Linked DNA regions of Oryctolagus cuniculus. The protein of the gene in region 1 interacts with the protein of each later gene in a pairwise test. Links are inferred from orthologs where the notes say so. Each region holds a gene or a part of one and is shown in the gene's direction. Other genes may lie near its edges.

Region 1 (7,413 bases):
AGTTAAATAGAAAAAGAGTGTGAACTGTGAAAAGTAACTGAATGCAAGGGCTAGAACTTTATTCTACAATGAAACAGAAACGAGCACTGTACAAATGTGCCTTTAACTGCTTCTCCGTGGTTTACATATTACTCTCCTGCTCCAATTTGATGCTGGGTTCTTCTCCAGGAGGAACTATTTCTTTTGTGCACCCCTCAATGCTTCACACAGCACTGGGCGCATAACAGGTCCTCAAATAAATACTTGTTCATAGATTGGCCTGGGAAGTCGGGCAGGGATGTTACTGCGCCTGACACAATGAGCCAGCAGTCAGCTTATTAAAAATGAATGTTCTTTTCTCAAAGGAGCGTTTCACAGGGCCAACCTGACAGCCATCTACAAAGGCCGAATCTCATTTATGCTAAAATATAGTTACAATCAATAACAGTTACGATCAACAGGCCAACAGAAAAGGAAGACATGTACTTCAATGGGGGAGGGGGGCTTTCAGAGCAGTGGCTTCGCAGCAAGTGTTGGAAATAGGAAGCTGGGAGAAGCTTGCTGATGCTGTAGATCTCAGTCGCTGCGAGATCATGTGGGAAGGCTGAATGCGAAGCATGGCCTCTCGGGCTTGCAGTCGAGTGACAGCACACGATGAAAAAAATGGGACCACGAACTCTCTTCCAGAGTCTTAGCCCAACAAAACCAGGATTAGAAGTACAGCTAACGGTAGGACTGAAGTCTGTTCTAAACTGAAACACCCAACATCTGGAGAACCCCAGGCGGCGACTTGTATCACGGGCGTCCAGAAAGGCGACAGGCTTTGGTGGAACGAGCCCAGGAGCAGATGCGTGGTGCTCGCGGCCATCGGGCAGAGCCCCTCCCGGCTTCTCGCTCCCCGAGCCCTTAGCCCCGCGCTGCCCCGAGTCCCGGGGCCTTGCACGCCTCTCCCGACCGGAGGGGCGCAGAAGGCAGAGGCGAGGGAGCAGCAGGACCCGGCCGTGATCCACAGAGGAAGAGGCTCCGGGGCTTCCTCTCAGACCAGCGAGGCGCCAAGGCTGAGGACTGGGCGGGAAGACACCCCGAACCTCGATACCTCTGCGGTGCAGCGGGGAGAGTGGAAGACCCCGGAGGTGCCCTCGCCGCCGCCCTCCCCCCACCTCTCGCCGCCAGAGCCCAGAGTAATTCATACAAAAGAGGACTCGCCTCAGTCTCGGGGAAGCCCAGGGACCGTCGCTAAACTCCCGTTACCCTAGAACCGAGAGATCGCCGCGTCCCCGCCCCCTACCCCTCGCGCTCGTCGTCACCGGGACCGAGGCGAGCATGCGCGAGGCGCTGTGTGCTCGTCAGTGGTCGGAGCGCACATCGCCCACGGTCCCCGAGGCGTTGGGGGAGGGGACGGCGATTGAACCGGTGCCTAGTGGAGGTGGCGCGGGGCAAACTGGGAAAGCGGTGTCGTGTGCTGACTCCGCCCTCTTCCCGAGGGTGGGGGAGAACCGTATATAAGTGCCGTAGTCGCCCTGGACGTTCTTTTTCGCAACGGGTTTGCCGCCAGAACACAGGTGAGTGTCGGGTGTGGCTTCCGCGGGTCTGGCCTTGAGCGGGCTGGGGCCCTCGCGTGCTCGGGGACACTGCCATGCCACTGAGCCTCTTGACGAGGTTCCTGGCTCCGAATTTCGGGCTGTAACGGGGCGGGAGGGTTGGAGGTTTGCGCGTTTTCCAGGAGCCTCTTCCTCGTGCTGGAGTTGAGGCCTGGCGTGGCCGCCGCGTGCGAGTCCTCTCGCCTTCGCGCCGGCCTGGCTAGCCTCGCTCGCGGGGCCCTTCGGCCCTTTGAGTTTTTACGTGGATCGGTACGGCTCTTTTTTTGTTCGTCGAGATGGGCCCGCCGAGGCCGGGCGGGCTACCCCGCGCGTTCGTCGTCCGGCCCGAGGGGGTGGCAGGGCGGCCGCGCGGCGTAGGGACAGCGAGCGGCGGGGCCCGCCCGTCCGGGCGCACATGTCGGGCGCGGCCTGGGCGAGGCCCGACGGCGCCGCGCCTGCCCAGGCCGGGCGAGGGGAGAGGCGAGGGTCGTGGGGCGGGCGGCTCGGTGGGGCCGCGGCCGCCCCACCCCGGGCGGCGGAGCCCGGCCCGCTCGGCACCAGTTGCGTGCGCGGAAAAAGATGGCCGCTCGCCGTCCCCGCTGCAGGGAGCTCAAAATGGAGGACGCGGTGGCCCGGGAGAGCGGGCGGGTGAGTCACCCACACAAAGGAAAAGAGCCTTCCCCTCTTCGGCCGCCGCTTCCTGCGACCCCACGGGGTACAGGGCGCCGTCTGGGCACCTGGCTTCTTCGTGTGGCCTTTGGAGTTCGGCTTGGCTCGGCTGGGGGCGGAGATTTTTTAGGCGATGGAGTTAACTCACTCGGTGGGTGGAGACTGAAGAGTTAGGCCAGCTTGGCATTGGATGTAATTCTCCTTGGAATTTGCCCTTTTGAGTTTTGAACGTGGCTTAGTCTCAACCCTCGGACAGTGGTTCAAAGGTTCCCCCCCTTTTTCCATTTTAGGTGTCGTGAAAACCACCGCTAAATCAAAGCCAAAATGGGAAAGGAAAAGACTCACATCAACATCGTCGTCATTGGCCACGTAGATTCGGGCAAGTCCACCACCACTGGCCATCTGATCTACAAATGTGGTGGCATCGACAAAAGAACCATTGAAAAATTTGAGAAGGAGGCTGCCGAGGTATGTCCAGTATCGCAAGGGAAAGATGCTGAATTACATTAAGTCTGGCCACTAAAATGAGAGTGCTATGACTATAAAAGACAACAGTGATTAGTTGTCTGAATGTGAATGTTAAAATCACGAGCCACCATATCGACTGGAGAGCCACCTAGGCCCAGCAGTTTGGGAAGCGGAATGCATTCCCAAGCGGAGGGGGGCATGGGGTTTCAAGCTTTGCTGTGTCTTAGTAACCGTCTGAGTGCTCTGTGTAATTACAGATGGGAAAGGGCTCCTTCAAGTATGCCTGGGTCTTGGATAAACTGAAAGCCGAGCGTGAGCGTGGTATCACCATCGACATCTCCCTGTGGAAATTTGAGACCAGCAAGTATTACGTGACTATCATTGATGCCCCAGGACACAGAGACTTCATCAAAAACATGATTACAGGCACATCTCAGGTTTGTGCAACTAGTAACTGTAGACATAAGGTTTTCTAGGCGGGGGGTGGGTGAGTTCCTCCTTAGGTTTGAGGTACCTTCGTTCACAGTGTGTGTCCTTGATTTCTTTAAAGGCTGACTGTGCCGTCCTGATTGTTGCTGCTGGTGTCGGGGAATTTGAAGCTGGTATCTCCAAGAACGGGCAGACCCGTGAGCATGCCCTTCTGGCTTACACGCTGGGTGTGAAACAGCTAATTGTTGGTGTTAACAAGATGGATTCCACTGAGCCACCCTACAGCCAGAAGAGATACGAGGAAATCGTTAAGGAAGTCAGCACCTACATTAAGAAAATTGGCTACAACCCTGACACAGTAGCATTTGTGCCAATTTCTGGTTGGAACGGTGACAACATGCTGGAGCCAAGTGCTAATGTAAGTGACTTTCAAGACAGTGCTTGTTAAAGAGCTGGAAGTGGTGATGTGATAGAATTAATTGTTCTCTTGTGTTTCAGATGCCGTGGTTCAAGGGATGGAAAGTCACCCGCAAAGATGGCAATGCCAGTGGAACCACACTGCTTGAAGCCCTGGACTGCATCCTTCCACCAACTAGACCAACTGACAAGCCTCTGCGTCTGCCCCTACAGGATGTCTACAAAATTGGTGGTAAGTTGGGTATTAATGTAACATCAGAATATAACTTGAATTGGAACAGGTGAAAAATCTTTGGCCCTCAATAACTCTTTGGTAATCTGCAAATATTTTAGGTATTGGCACTGTCCCTGTGGGCCGAGTGGAGACTGGTGTTCTCAAACCTGGCATGGTGGTAACTTTTGCTCCAGTCAATGTCACAACTGAAGTCAAGTCCGTCGAAATGCACCATGAAGCTTTGAGTGAAGCTCTTCCTGGGGACAATGTGGGCTTCAATGTCAAGAACGTGTCTGTCAAAGATGTTCGTCGTGGCAACGTTGCTGGTGACAGCAAAAATGACCCACCAATGGAAGCAGCTGGCTTCACTGCTCAGGTAACAATTTAAAATGATCTGTTAATTGACAATGTTCATGCATACTCAAGGGGGTAAGCAATCTGATGCATGTATGAAGTGTTATCACATCAGGGGAGTTAGCATTTCTAGCTGTTACCACAGTTCAGTTTGAGAAGCACTAAAATGCATATCCTTTTTTTCCCAGGTGATCATCCTGAACCATCCAGGTCAGATCAGTGCTGGGTATGCCCCTGTACTGGATTGTCACACAGCTCACATTGCTTGCAAGTTTGCTGAGCTGAAGGAAAAGATTGATCGTCGTTCTGGAAAGAAGTTGGAAGATGGCCCTAAATTCTTGAAATCTGGTGATGCTGCCATTGTTGATATGGTTCCCGGCAAGCCCATGTGTGTTGAGAGCTTCTCTGACTATCCTCCTCTGGGTAAGGATTTTTTTTTTTATTGCTATTACAAGTTGTACTAAAGATTAACAATTGCTTCTGTGAACTATGTGTCTCATGGCAACTCAATACTTGTTTTAATAGGTCGTTTCGCTGTCCGTGATATGAGACAGACGGTTGCTGTGGGTGTGATCAAAGCAGTGGACAAGAAGGCTGCTGGAGCTGGCAAGGTCACCAAGTCTGCCCAGAAAGCTCAGAAGGCTAAATGAATATTACCCCTAATACCTGCCACCCCAGTCTTAATCAGTGGTGGAAGAACGGTCTCAGAACTGTTTGTCTCAATTGGCCATTTAAGTTTAATAGTAAAAGACTGGTTAATGATAACAATGCATCGTAAAACCTTCAGAAGGAAAGGAGAATGTTTTGTGGACCATTTTTTTTGTGCGTGGCAGTTTTAAGTTATTAGTTTTTAAAATCAGTACTTTTTAATGGAAACAACTTGACCAAAAATCTGTCACAGAATTTTGAGACCCATTAAAACAAAGTTTAATGAGAAACCTGTGTCTTCTTGTCAACACTGGACCTGTCAAATGTGTTCCAGGTTTTTCTAATTAGAATTGGCTGGAATTTTAAAACTCCATGGGTTAGGGATTTTTTCCCACCTGTTTGTTTTAAGCTATGGAGGGCTGTTAGCCCTGCTGGTTAGAACTGTTGACATGTAATTTAGTTTAGAAAGCAAAATTCTGTAATCTTAAGGGATGAAATGTTGCATATAAAATTGTGTAGCTACAAGTAAATTTGTTAGAATCATTAAATTTTGGTTTCCCAAATTACTTGAAGTTTTAGTAAAACAGCACTGGTTTCTAGGGTCCTAAGAAAACGTAAAAAGTGGTTTCCTGATGTAAGTGAGAACACCATTTCTAACAGATTTCTTCTAAAGCAGTTTGGTAAAGGATTTGTAGCCTGACATAAGAAGTGGACCACAGATGATCAGAATTAAGATACAGGAAGGTGGGGAAAGCATATTTTCAAATAAGCTTTATTCTTGAGGTTCATAGTGGTATTAGTGACCCATGAGTAGCATGGAGATTGCTGACAATCATAGTTTGGAGGTATTCACTTGACATGATCAAGTGTACTGGGTCTTTGGATTGTTGGCTGGCTGGTCACTAGTAAGGAATCTACACGGTGATTTACTATGGATATGATAACTTTGAGGTTTCTAATTTGGAGTTAATTAACATAGGATTTCCAACATTCTGTAAGTATTTGGTAATCTAAAGGGGTGTGTTCCCTGGGATTTTGATGCAGCTTGAAAGGCAAAATAAGGTCTGTAAATTCAGATTGAACCAGGGTTTGAAAAGGTGGCCTTACAGTGGCTGGTGTTCTGAGAATTTCAGGGTACCCCATAGAACTATTAAAAGTAGCCAAACTGACTGCATTTAGCCTGCCTTGTACAAGAGCTGTTCACATGAGCATGCTGCCTGCAGCTTTTTGGGGAGGTGAGATGTAGCTGGCTATTAACGGGTTTACTAGAAGAGATGTACTAGGATAGCCCTGCAAAATGGGGAGGGCAGGACATGGCAGTTTACTGAGAGCCAGTTGCATGTGTGCTTTAGATAATTGGTTTTGAGCACCATCTACTGGTAGATGCTAAACATTAGTCAAAGGACAAAGTGATACTTGTGTGGTTGATTGAAAACATATTTTGGATTGGACTTCAAGCTAAATTGAATATTTAAACCTAGTGCTATATTTCATAGCTGTAATTTAATTTGAGCTGTTGAATTTGCCCCAGGGATTCTGGTATGATCTTGCATATTAGGAAAGGTGTTTCTGGTTTGGGGGTAATACTAGGGTGTAACTTCATTTTTTTGTTAAATCCTTACCCAAAATAACAATCACTGGGTTTTGACCACATTCAAGACTCAAAGCTTACACCTCCCCATCACTTTCCTATGGTTAATTCTACTTGCCTAGTAAACCTCAGCTGTGCCAGTCTACCCACTCTGCTCTAGTGAGACAGTTGTTCCCTATTAAACCCAGCCTCTGTATGTAGCAATGCTAGGGTTTTAATGATACTATTTGTATCTTATGCAGTTAAAGTTTTTGTCCAACTGGACAGGAGATTTAACCCTTGTATTTTGTAGCTGTCAGTTACCCAGTTCTAGTGAAATCACCTTAGGTTTTTTTATTTTTTTTTTATCTAAACTTGTGCTTCAACATAAATGGCTAAGTTTAAAGTTGATCTGGCTCATGATTGGCACAGTAGAAGCAAGTTTTTCAGCATAGGATAGAAGCATTCTGCAGGAAGCTAGGACTTGGTTTTAATTTTCTGCTTGCTGAGCAAATTCTAGAGCAAGCTTTTCTTGACCATGGGAGTCAATTCTGATGAGGCCTGTTAGAAAGGGCAGTAAACAGTTGAAGAAAACTTTGCATAATTTTTAGGTTGTTAGCATTAGTTCATTTATCACCATGAATGCTGCAGAAAGTTGCTCTGTGGACTTGGGACCATACCCTGAAGAAGGGAATAGCATTCTAGCTTCTGTGATGGGAGGGGATGCATAGGATTTTTTCTACTTGTTACCTGAAGGTTTTATGTGTTTCTCAATTTAATTTCTCAAACTTCAGGGTTCCATAGATTTCTTTCACACCCAGCATTGCTTAAGTAGCACCAGTCCCCTCCTACGTGCAGGCCTGAGTATGGTTAGAGCCAGGATTGAATGATAACTTGAATACTAAGGTACTCAGAAGAGGAAAAAATTTAATGGAAATTGCGTGCATGGTTATTGAGCAGTTTTTGCTGACTTCTGAGCCAGCAGAAATCTGCAAAGGGACCATATGGTGGTCTCCATAGAAAGGGTAGTGGGCAGTAGTCTACCCATCACAGGGGATTTTTTTTGAAAGGTTTATTTGACAGGG
Region 2 (7,529 bases), on another chromosome or scaffold:
CATCGTCTCCCAGGCCTGCCCCATGCTACCTGACCTCACACGCACGTGAGGGCCGGAATCTCAGGTGACAGTTTTGCTCGCTGTATTTTATAATCTGTATGAGCTACATTAGACTCTGGGAAGGTCTCACAAGTGTCTCTCTCCCATTGGGCACCGCGGGACACAGCAGCTACATTACACCAGCCTGCTTGAGGTCTCCAGCCACCACGTGGCTCACGGCCACCGACTGTCAGTTATACTCTGATGTCTGTTCTCACCTGGGTGACAAGCAGCTCGGGGAAGCTGCTTTTTGATTCCCACGCTGAGCCAGCCCCTCTGACTGGTGGGTACCCCTACATCACACGAGTAGGTGGAGGGAGGCGGGCAGGCAGGATGCAAATCCCTGTCGGTCTGACTCCAAGGCCGCCCACCTGGCCTAACGCTGTCTGGACCATGCTTTGCCAGCCCCTCTGACTCATGGATGCACTGCTCTCAACCCATGGTTGTCTGTGGTGGTGGTGCCCCCTGGTGGCACAGGAGGGCTCCACAGGCACTGGGCAGCAGAGTCCTCTGCACCCAGGGCACAGCTTGACTCCGCCAGAGCTGTGTTTCTCAGAGGCATCCCTCAGAGACATCTGCTTGGGGTGAGGGCCCAGCAAACAGCAGTGAGATGACTTCTGGGGTTGGGGCTCCCCCTCTGCATTGCATCCTCCCAGTCAGGGCACGCGGACGAGGGCCTGCTGGGATTTCCATTTTTCCAGGCACTGGTTTATGGAGGATGGGAGACAGGAGAGGATAATGCAGTCGGCATTCAGGACTTGAAGACTCTTTGCCTGCCATGCAGTCTTTTCCCCGGGCCACCATCAAGACGCTTCAGTAATCTATGGAACTCCCGTGGTGCTCTGTGGCACTCGGGAGGCAGACCCAGAGAAGGAGCTCTTTCCGACATTACAAAGTGAGCATAAAAAAAGTACAGGGGCTGGCAGTGCAGCGCAGCAGGTAAAGTTGACACCTGTGACACTAGCATCCCATATGGGCACCGGTTCAAGTCCTGGCTGTTCCACTTCCAATCCAGCTCCCTGCTAATTCACCTGGAAAAGCAGTAGAAGATGGCCCGCGTGTTTGGGCCCCTGTCCACATGGGAGGCCTGGAGGAATCTCTTGGCTTCTGGCTTCAGCCTGGCCCAGCCCCAGCCATTACATCTGGGGAGTGAATCAGAGGATGGAAGACTCTCCTTGCCCCTCAGAACTCTGACTTTCAAATAAATAAGTCTTTAAAAAAAATACTAGCAGGCAAATGCTCCCTGTGCCAGACTGCATGGGGCAAACCAGTAGCAGCAGAGAGCGAGCCACTTGGCGGAGCAGGCTGCCCTCCTGCCTCTGGTGTGTGCCCACTGCCATCCTCCTCCTTCTGTTCCCCTTTGCCGGCATTCCTTGCAGCCTAAATACCAATGAGCAGCCTCAGTGCCATCTGGCTTGGCGGTCATCTGAGATCCGCGGGAGCCACATTGACCATTGCTGTGGCTGCCAGCCTCTCACGGCTGCTGAGCACTTGAAACGTGGATCCTGTGAATGGAAATGGGCTGGTAAGCATGAAATGTACATTGGATTTTGAAAACTTTATGTTGAAAGGATATTTTGGATATACTGTCTGGGTATGTAAAATATTTTCTTAAAAGTTAATTCACATGTTTTTAGACTTCTCTGATGTGGCTACCAGATCATTTCACATAAGGAGTGCCCTGTCATCTTATTTCTGTTTGCAGGCTGCCTAAGAGGTTAAACACATACACACACACACGCACACACCAAAAACCCAAGGCTGCACCTCGCAGCCCGGTAAAACGTTACACACCGAGTAACCACAAGGGGGCGGTCCTGCAACGCATGACCAGCAGGAAGCAGGCTGGCTCCCCAGCCAGCCGTCACAACTTGGTTTCCAGTAGTTAGTAAGTACTTCACTTACATGTCTGATTGCAATCTTGTGAGGTCAGCTTTTAAATCCTTTTTCCTAAAAATGTCTATGGTCCATATTGTGTTGTCCTTTACCAGAAATAACTCTTCTAGGGCAGGAATCCAAAACCCTTGAAAAGCAACGCACAAAGTGGGATTTGAAGGAAGCTGGAAGCTCCCCTCTGACCTCTGGGAATGAAGAGGGACTTTGCCCTCCAGGCTGAAAGCGCCCTGAGCTGGCCATAGTCAGCAGGGAGCCCGGGTAACAGCTGCAGGTGAGAGGGCTCAAGCACGCTTCCGGTAAGGCGAGGCTTAGCAGAACTGGCAGGACACACAGGTGCGCTCCTGTTTTCACCAAAGTGCTACCATCTGAGTGCACGCTGGCACTACCTCTGTGCCAGCAATTCACGTCCATCAAGTCTTAAAAACAACCATATCCTTTGGCCCGGTAATTCCACTTCTAGTAGCTTACCAGGAAAATTTTAAACTGCACAGAGATTTAGCCAAGAGGATATTCACCCAGCAAGCTAGTATCCAAACTGTACATTAACATGGAGTTGGTCAAGTCAGTTAAAGCACATACGGCTGAGACATGGAATATTTTGCAATTAATAAAAACTAAGTATTTATTTTTAAATATTTTATTTATTTGAAAGAGCTGCAGAGAGAGGTAGAGACAGGGAGAGAGGTCTTCCATCCGCTGGTTCACTCCCCAGATGACTGCAATGGCGGAGCTGTGCCGATCCAAAGTCAGCAGCTTCCTCCGGGTCTCTCTCGCCAGTGCAGGGGCCCAAGGACTTGGGCCATCTTCTACTGCTTTCCCAGGCCATAGCAGAGAGCTGGATCGGAAGTGGAGCAGCTGGGGCTCAAACCGGCGCCCATATAGGATGCTGGTGCTTCAGGCCAAGCCTTTAACCCACTGTGCCACAGCACCGGCCTCAAAACTAAGTATTTATTAACACGAACAGACATTTATGCTAAAACCTGTGCAAAGGCTCAGCAAAGGAATCATGTCCAATATTTTTTTTTTTTGCTTAGAAAAGAACAAAAGCCATTTAGAGCATACCTCTGCAAATACATCCACCTGAAAGGGACTGCAGTCACTTCTGGCAGTGGAAGTGTGGGAAGTGTGGCTGGTTTCCTTCCTTTATTTTTAATCTTGGCTTTGACAGCTTGTAAAGCTGTTTTCAGGGAGTGTCACCCCAGTCCTCCTTATGCGTTAGGTATCACACGGCACCTTCTGGCCCCAAACCTTCCTGAGCCCTGATCACAGGAAAAGCAGTGTCTTAGTTAAAATTCCAACACGTTTTGCCAGCGCCCCGCTCCGGGTTTTACCCGCGGGCCACCTCGTCCTTTGTCCCGGGTGTACGCCCTTCAAGGAGCCCGTGGCTCCTCTGGCCACTTGCTCCATCCCGCCGGGCCCGCAGGGTTACTGTCAAACACCATCCTGTCCTTGGGTCTCGGAGTCGTTTGCACTGAGACCAACGGACAAGAACCATTGGGCCAGACTGCAGGCCAGGAACTGAGGCGCTGGGGCCTGGCTGCAGACTCTCACCCCGCGCAGCCCGAACCCTCAGGGAGACGGGAGCACGGCTCGGCGCCGTCTTCCGGGAGAGAACTCGGACGTGGCGCCGCGGCGAATTTTGTCCCATCGGCGGCGCCGTCGCGGGCAGCGGAAGGCTCGCGTCACGTGACGGAGGCCCGCAGTGAAGCGGAACGCGACGGCTCCGGGGGCCCGGGCGGGGGTGCGCTGCCGGCCGGCGGGATGGAGGCGACCTTGGAGCAGCACCTGGAGGACACGTGAGCAGTGCGGGCCTCTCCGGCCAGTTCTGAGGTCGCAGCGCGGGTTACGTGCGGGACAGCGGGCGAGACCCGCGAGCGCCGGAGGGCGGCTCGGGGACGCCGTGCCACCCCAGAAGGCTGGCCGAGGGGACGGGGCCGGTGGCCCGAAGTTAATATCCCGCTGGGGCCCGCAGCCTTCCTCTCGGGGCGCCGTCCGCAGGATTAGGTCGTTCAGGAGGGTGTCGCAGGTGTGCCGTCGGCCGCACCGGGTACACACACACACAGATCGTGTGTGCGATCTGTCATTTGGTGTTTAAGGAAATACCTGTTCCTTAAATGTGTTAACGTCTGTGTAAACTCAAAGCTGCAAAAGTCTAAGGTGTACGTGCAGACACCACCCTCCCAGCCACTCCCTCGTCATCCCACTTCCCTTCCGGGAGGCAACGCCTCTTAGTTTGTCCAGTTGTCTTACCTGAGCTGTTACGTAAAGCGTGCGGTTAGAACGGCGAAAAACCCCGCATCCGAACTGTTGCGTGCGCCTAGGCTTCCCAAACCCAGCAGATACTCATTCTTCTCTGCAGCTGGCTTCAATTACTACTTTAATTTTGCTCGGGGTTGGGGAGTGTGGTAGGAAAGAGGTCGAGAAACCCATTTAAAGCACTTAGGCAATGCCTGATAGCATGGCAGGCCCACGGGCGTCATAACCGTTTGCATCCACTTTCTCAAGCCCTCTGCCTCACCTCTCCTGTGTTTCTGGAATTAGGATGAAGAACCCGTCCATTGTTGGAGTCCTGTGCACAGACTCACAAGGCCTCAATCTGGGCTGTAAGTATCTCCTGCCAACCCTTTGCTGGACTGCGCCACACCTGGTGTTGACCAAATAGTATTTGAGTCATTTCAAACTGGGCCTAGACAGGACTCGCCCATGAGAGCTGTGAGCATGTGCTGAGCCATATGCGAGGCTCCACCTGCCTTGCTGCACTTTCCACAGTATCCCTGCATGATGGGTGGGTGCAGTGTTCTAGTCCAAGTACACCAACAGTGAAAATAGGAGATTCTGAGTTTGGCACAGCTGAGTTCAAACACTCCCCCCACCCCCACCCCGTTCTTTCATTTGCTAGTTGTGTGAACTTGGGCCTAAATGAACCTTTCAGGAACTTTTTTTTTTTTTTAATATTTATTTATTTATTTGAAAGAATTAGAGAGAGGGAGAGACAGAGAGATCTTGCATCCTCTGAGTCATTCCCCAGATGGCTATAATGTCCAGGGCTGGGCCAGGCCAAAGCCAGAATCATCCAGGTCTCCCACAAGAGTGGCAGGGACCCAAACACTTGGGCGATCTACTGCTTTCCCCAGACCTTTAGCAGGGAGCTGCATCAGAAATGGAGCAGAAGGACACAAACCGCTGCCAATATGGGATGCCGGCATCAGAGATGTGTCATGGCACCGGCCTCCATGGCATAGCTTCACTGGGCTCTTGTTTACTGAGACTAGTGCTTACAGAATTGCGTGCTCTTCCTTGAGTTCCAGGTACCATTCTAATGGTAACTCACGCACTCCTCCTAACAACCAACGTGAGGCACAGAGGTAAAGTAGCTTGCCTAGGGTCATAGGGCGGTAATTGGCTGAGCTAGAAATGGTGTCAGGGTCCAAAGCCTCTTCAATCACAATGCCGTGAGATTATATAATATGCTTAAGACAGTGCACACCCAGATGGAACATGCTCAGAGAATGACAGCAATCACAGATGAGGAAATGATAGATAAGGAAAATGATAGATAACTAGAGCATTTAGTTAATGTCAGAACTAGTAAACCCAGGACACGTCTTAGTGCAAGAATTTTTAAAGCTCTGAATTTTTGCTGCAAGGGTAACAAAGCGGTAATCTATAACTCAGTTGCTTGGAGAAAAAAGGCAAATGTTTTGACGCTTTTGCCAGACTCACTAATGGAAATACTGAAATGAAGTGTGAAACTCTATTAGAGTTGCTTCAAGAAAGCTTCAAGGTGCAAAAGATGGCGCCGTGCTGGTGAGTTGCTGTCAGGAAATCCCTCTGCCCACCAGCCACAGGCACGGTTCTGCTTGGCCTGCCTTCATACACACATACAGGACACAGTAAACTCAGCAGTTACATTTTGTGCTTGGGACCCAAGGTTCCGTTATCATATACAAGCTAAAGCAGTCAGGAGTAGAAGACAATCGTGTGGGCATTTGAAAACAGCCAAGTAGCTATGCTAGCAGAAATAACTGCTCACAGAATGTTCACACGTGCCATCGAGGAGATCTGAGACTGCGTGACTCCTCAGGAGAGGAAATCCGCTTTCCCATGAGGAATGAATTAGCTTCAGCAAGCCTCTTGCGCGTATTGACTGCTTTTTGTCAATCTCACCTCTAAGCTTTTTGTTTTCGCAAGGTTCCTATCCAGTGAATTTATGGTTTTCAGAGTGACCTGAATTACAGCGTCCTGGTATGTTGAAGCTGTTTACAGATGGTGATAGGTGTGTCAGTTATAGCTTACTGATTTATTGATTTTTGTTGCCCGGCTTTCTCACTGATGTAACCACTGAGCGTCAGGGAACAGTCACTTCATGTAAGCACCAAACTTAAAGGACCAGGACCTGAACCTCCTCTTTGTGAATCATTCAGTGAGATACTGTTGCTCCAAACTTACTTGTGGCTCACCAGGTGCCCTGATACCATCGTTCTCTCTCTCTCTCAGGCCGTGGGACGCTGTCAGATGAGCATGCTGGAGTGATCTCTGTTCTGGCGCAGCAAGCAGCAAAGCTAACCTCTGACCCCACCGACATTCCTGTGGTGTGCCTAGAATCAGATAATGGGTGAGTAGAGGCCTCAGATCCTTTCCTTTCTGTTCAGAAAAACCCCTGGACAACTTGACTGAGGCCTGCTCTGTGTTCCTCAGTGACTCCATACTCAAAGTATGTCGGAGCAGGTTCTTGACCCTTTGGGCCATGGGAGCAGACAAGAATCTTGGAAGCCAATGTGCTGGCAGACCACAGTGACACTTAAATGAAGAGTAAACTGTTATTAGTCTCCCAGGAAAACAGAAGTAATTAAGTACCACAAAAGAAAACTAATCAAAGCATCAAGCCTTTTTTCTTTTTTTTTTTTTTTTTTAAGATTTATTTATTTGAAAGAGCTACACAAAGAGGGAAAGAAAGAATCCTCCATGTGCTGGTTCACTCTTCAGGTGGCCACAATGGCCAGGGCTGGGGCAGGCCAGAGCCAGGAGCCTCATCCAGGTCTCCCACATGGGTGGCAGAGGCCGAGATTCCATCTGCTGGTTCACTCCCCAGATGGCCAGAATGGTTGGAGCTGGGCTGATCTGAAGCCAGGAGCCAGAGCTTCTTCCAGGTCTCCCACGTGGGTGCAGGGGCCCAAGCAGTTGGGCCATCTTCCACTGCTTTCTCAGGTGCATTAGCAGGGAGCTGGATCAGAAGTGGAGCAGCTGGAACTCCAACCAGCGACCATATGGGATTCCAGTGCCCCAGGTGGCGGCTTTACCCGCTTTGCCACAGTGCCAGCCCCCATCAAAACTATTTCTAAAGTAATAGAAATACTAAACGTATTCCAAGTGAGGGTCTTTAGAATACGATGATGTGAAGAGATAATACAAAACTATGCACAATATTGTTTTGTCCAAAAGAGAATATATGCAAATAGGAAAATTAAAAATAGTTGTCTATGAATAATAGGATTAAGAATTCATTTCATTTTTGTATTTTACACTTTTTTTTTTTTTAATTTATTTATTTGAAAGGCAGAGTTACAGAGAGGCAGAAGCAGAATCTGCCATCC

The links.
Region 2: the proteins of EEF1A1 (region 1) and LAMTOR5 interact in a two-hybrid assay, tested with the Homo sapiens proteins (2 studies listed by BioGRID and IntAct). The link is inferred for Oryctolagus cuniculus from reciprocal best matches to the Homo sapiens genes EEF1A1 and LAMTOR5.

What each region holds. Positions count from the first base shown.
Region 1 is NC_091436.1:99,026,591-99,034,003, forward strand, and holds EEF1A1 (elongation factor 1-alpha 1), read left to right. Parts: upstream 1-2,524; 5' UTR 2,525-2,552; coding exon 2,553-2,696; intron 2,697-2,953; coding exon 2,954-3,133; intron 3,134-3,246; coding exon 3,247-3,543; intron 3,544-3,623; coding exon 3,624-3,774; intron 3,775-3,875; coding exon 3,876-4,132; intron 4,133-4,298; coding exon 4,299-4,533; intron 4,534-4,635; coding exon 4,636-4,760; 3' UTR 4,761-5,045; downstream 5,046-7,413. UniProt on the Homo sapiens protein: Translation elongation factor that catalyzes the GTP-dependent binding of aminoacyl-tRNA (aa-tRNA) to the A-site of ribosomes during the elongation phase of protein synthesis.
Region 2 is NC_091438.1:59,942,184-59,949,712, forward strand, and holds the start of LAMTOR5 (ragulator complex protein LAMTOR5), read left to right. Parts: upstream 1-3,599; 5' UTR 3,600-3,696; coding exon 3,697-3,731; exon of another isoform or gene 3,732-4,476; coding exon 4,477-4,538; exon of another isoform or gene 4,539-6,432; coding exon 6,433-6,550; exon of another isoform or gene 6,551-7,529. UniProt on the Homo sapiens protein: As part of the Ragulator complex it is involved in amino acid sensing and activation of mTORC1, a signaling complex promoting cell growth in response to growth factors, energy levels, and amino acids.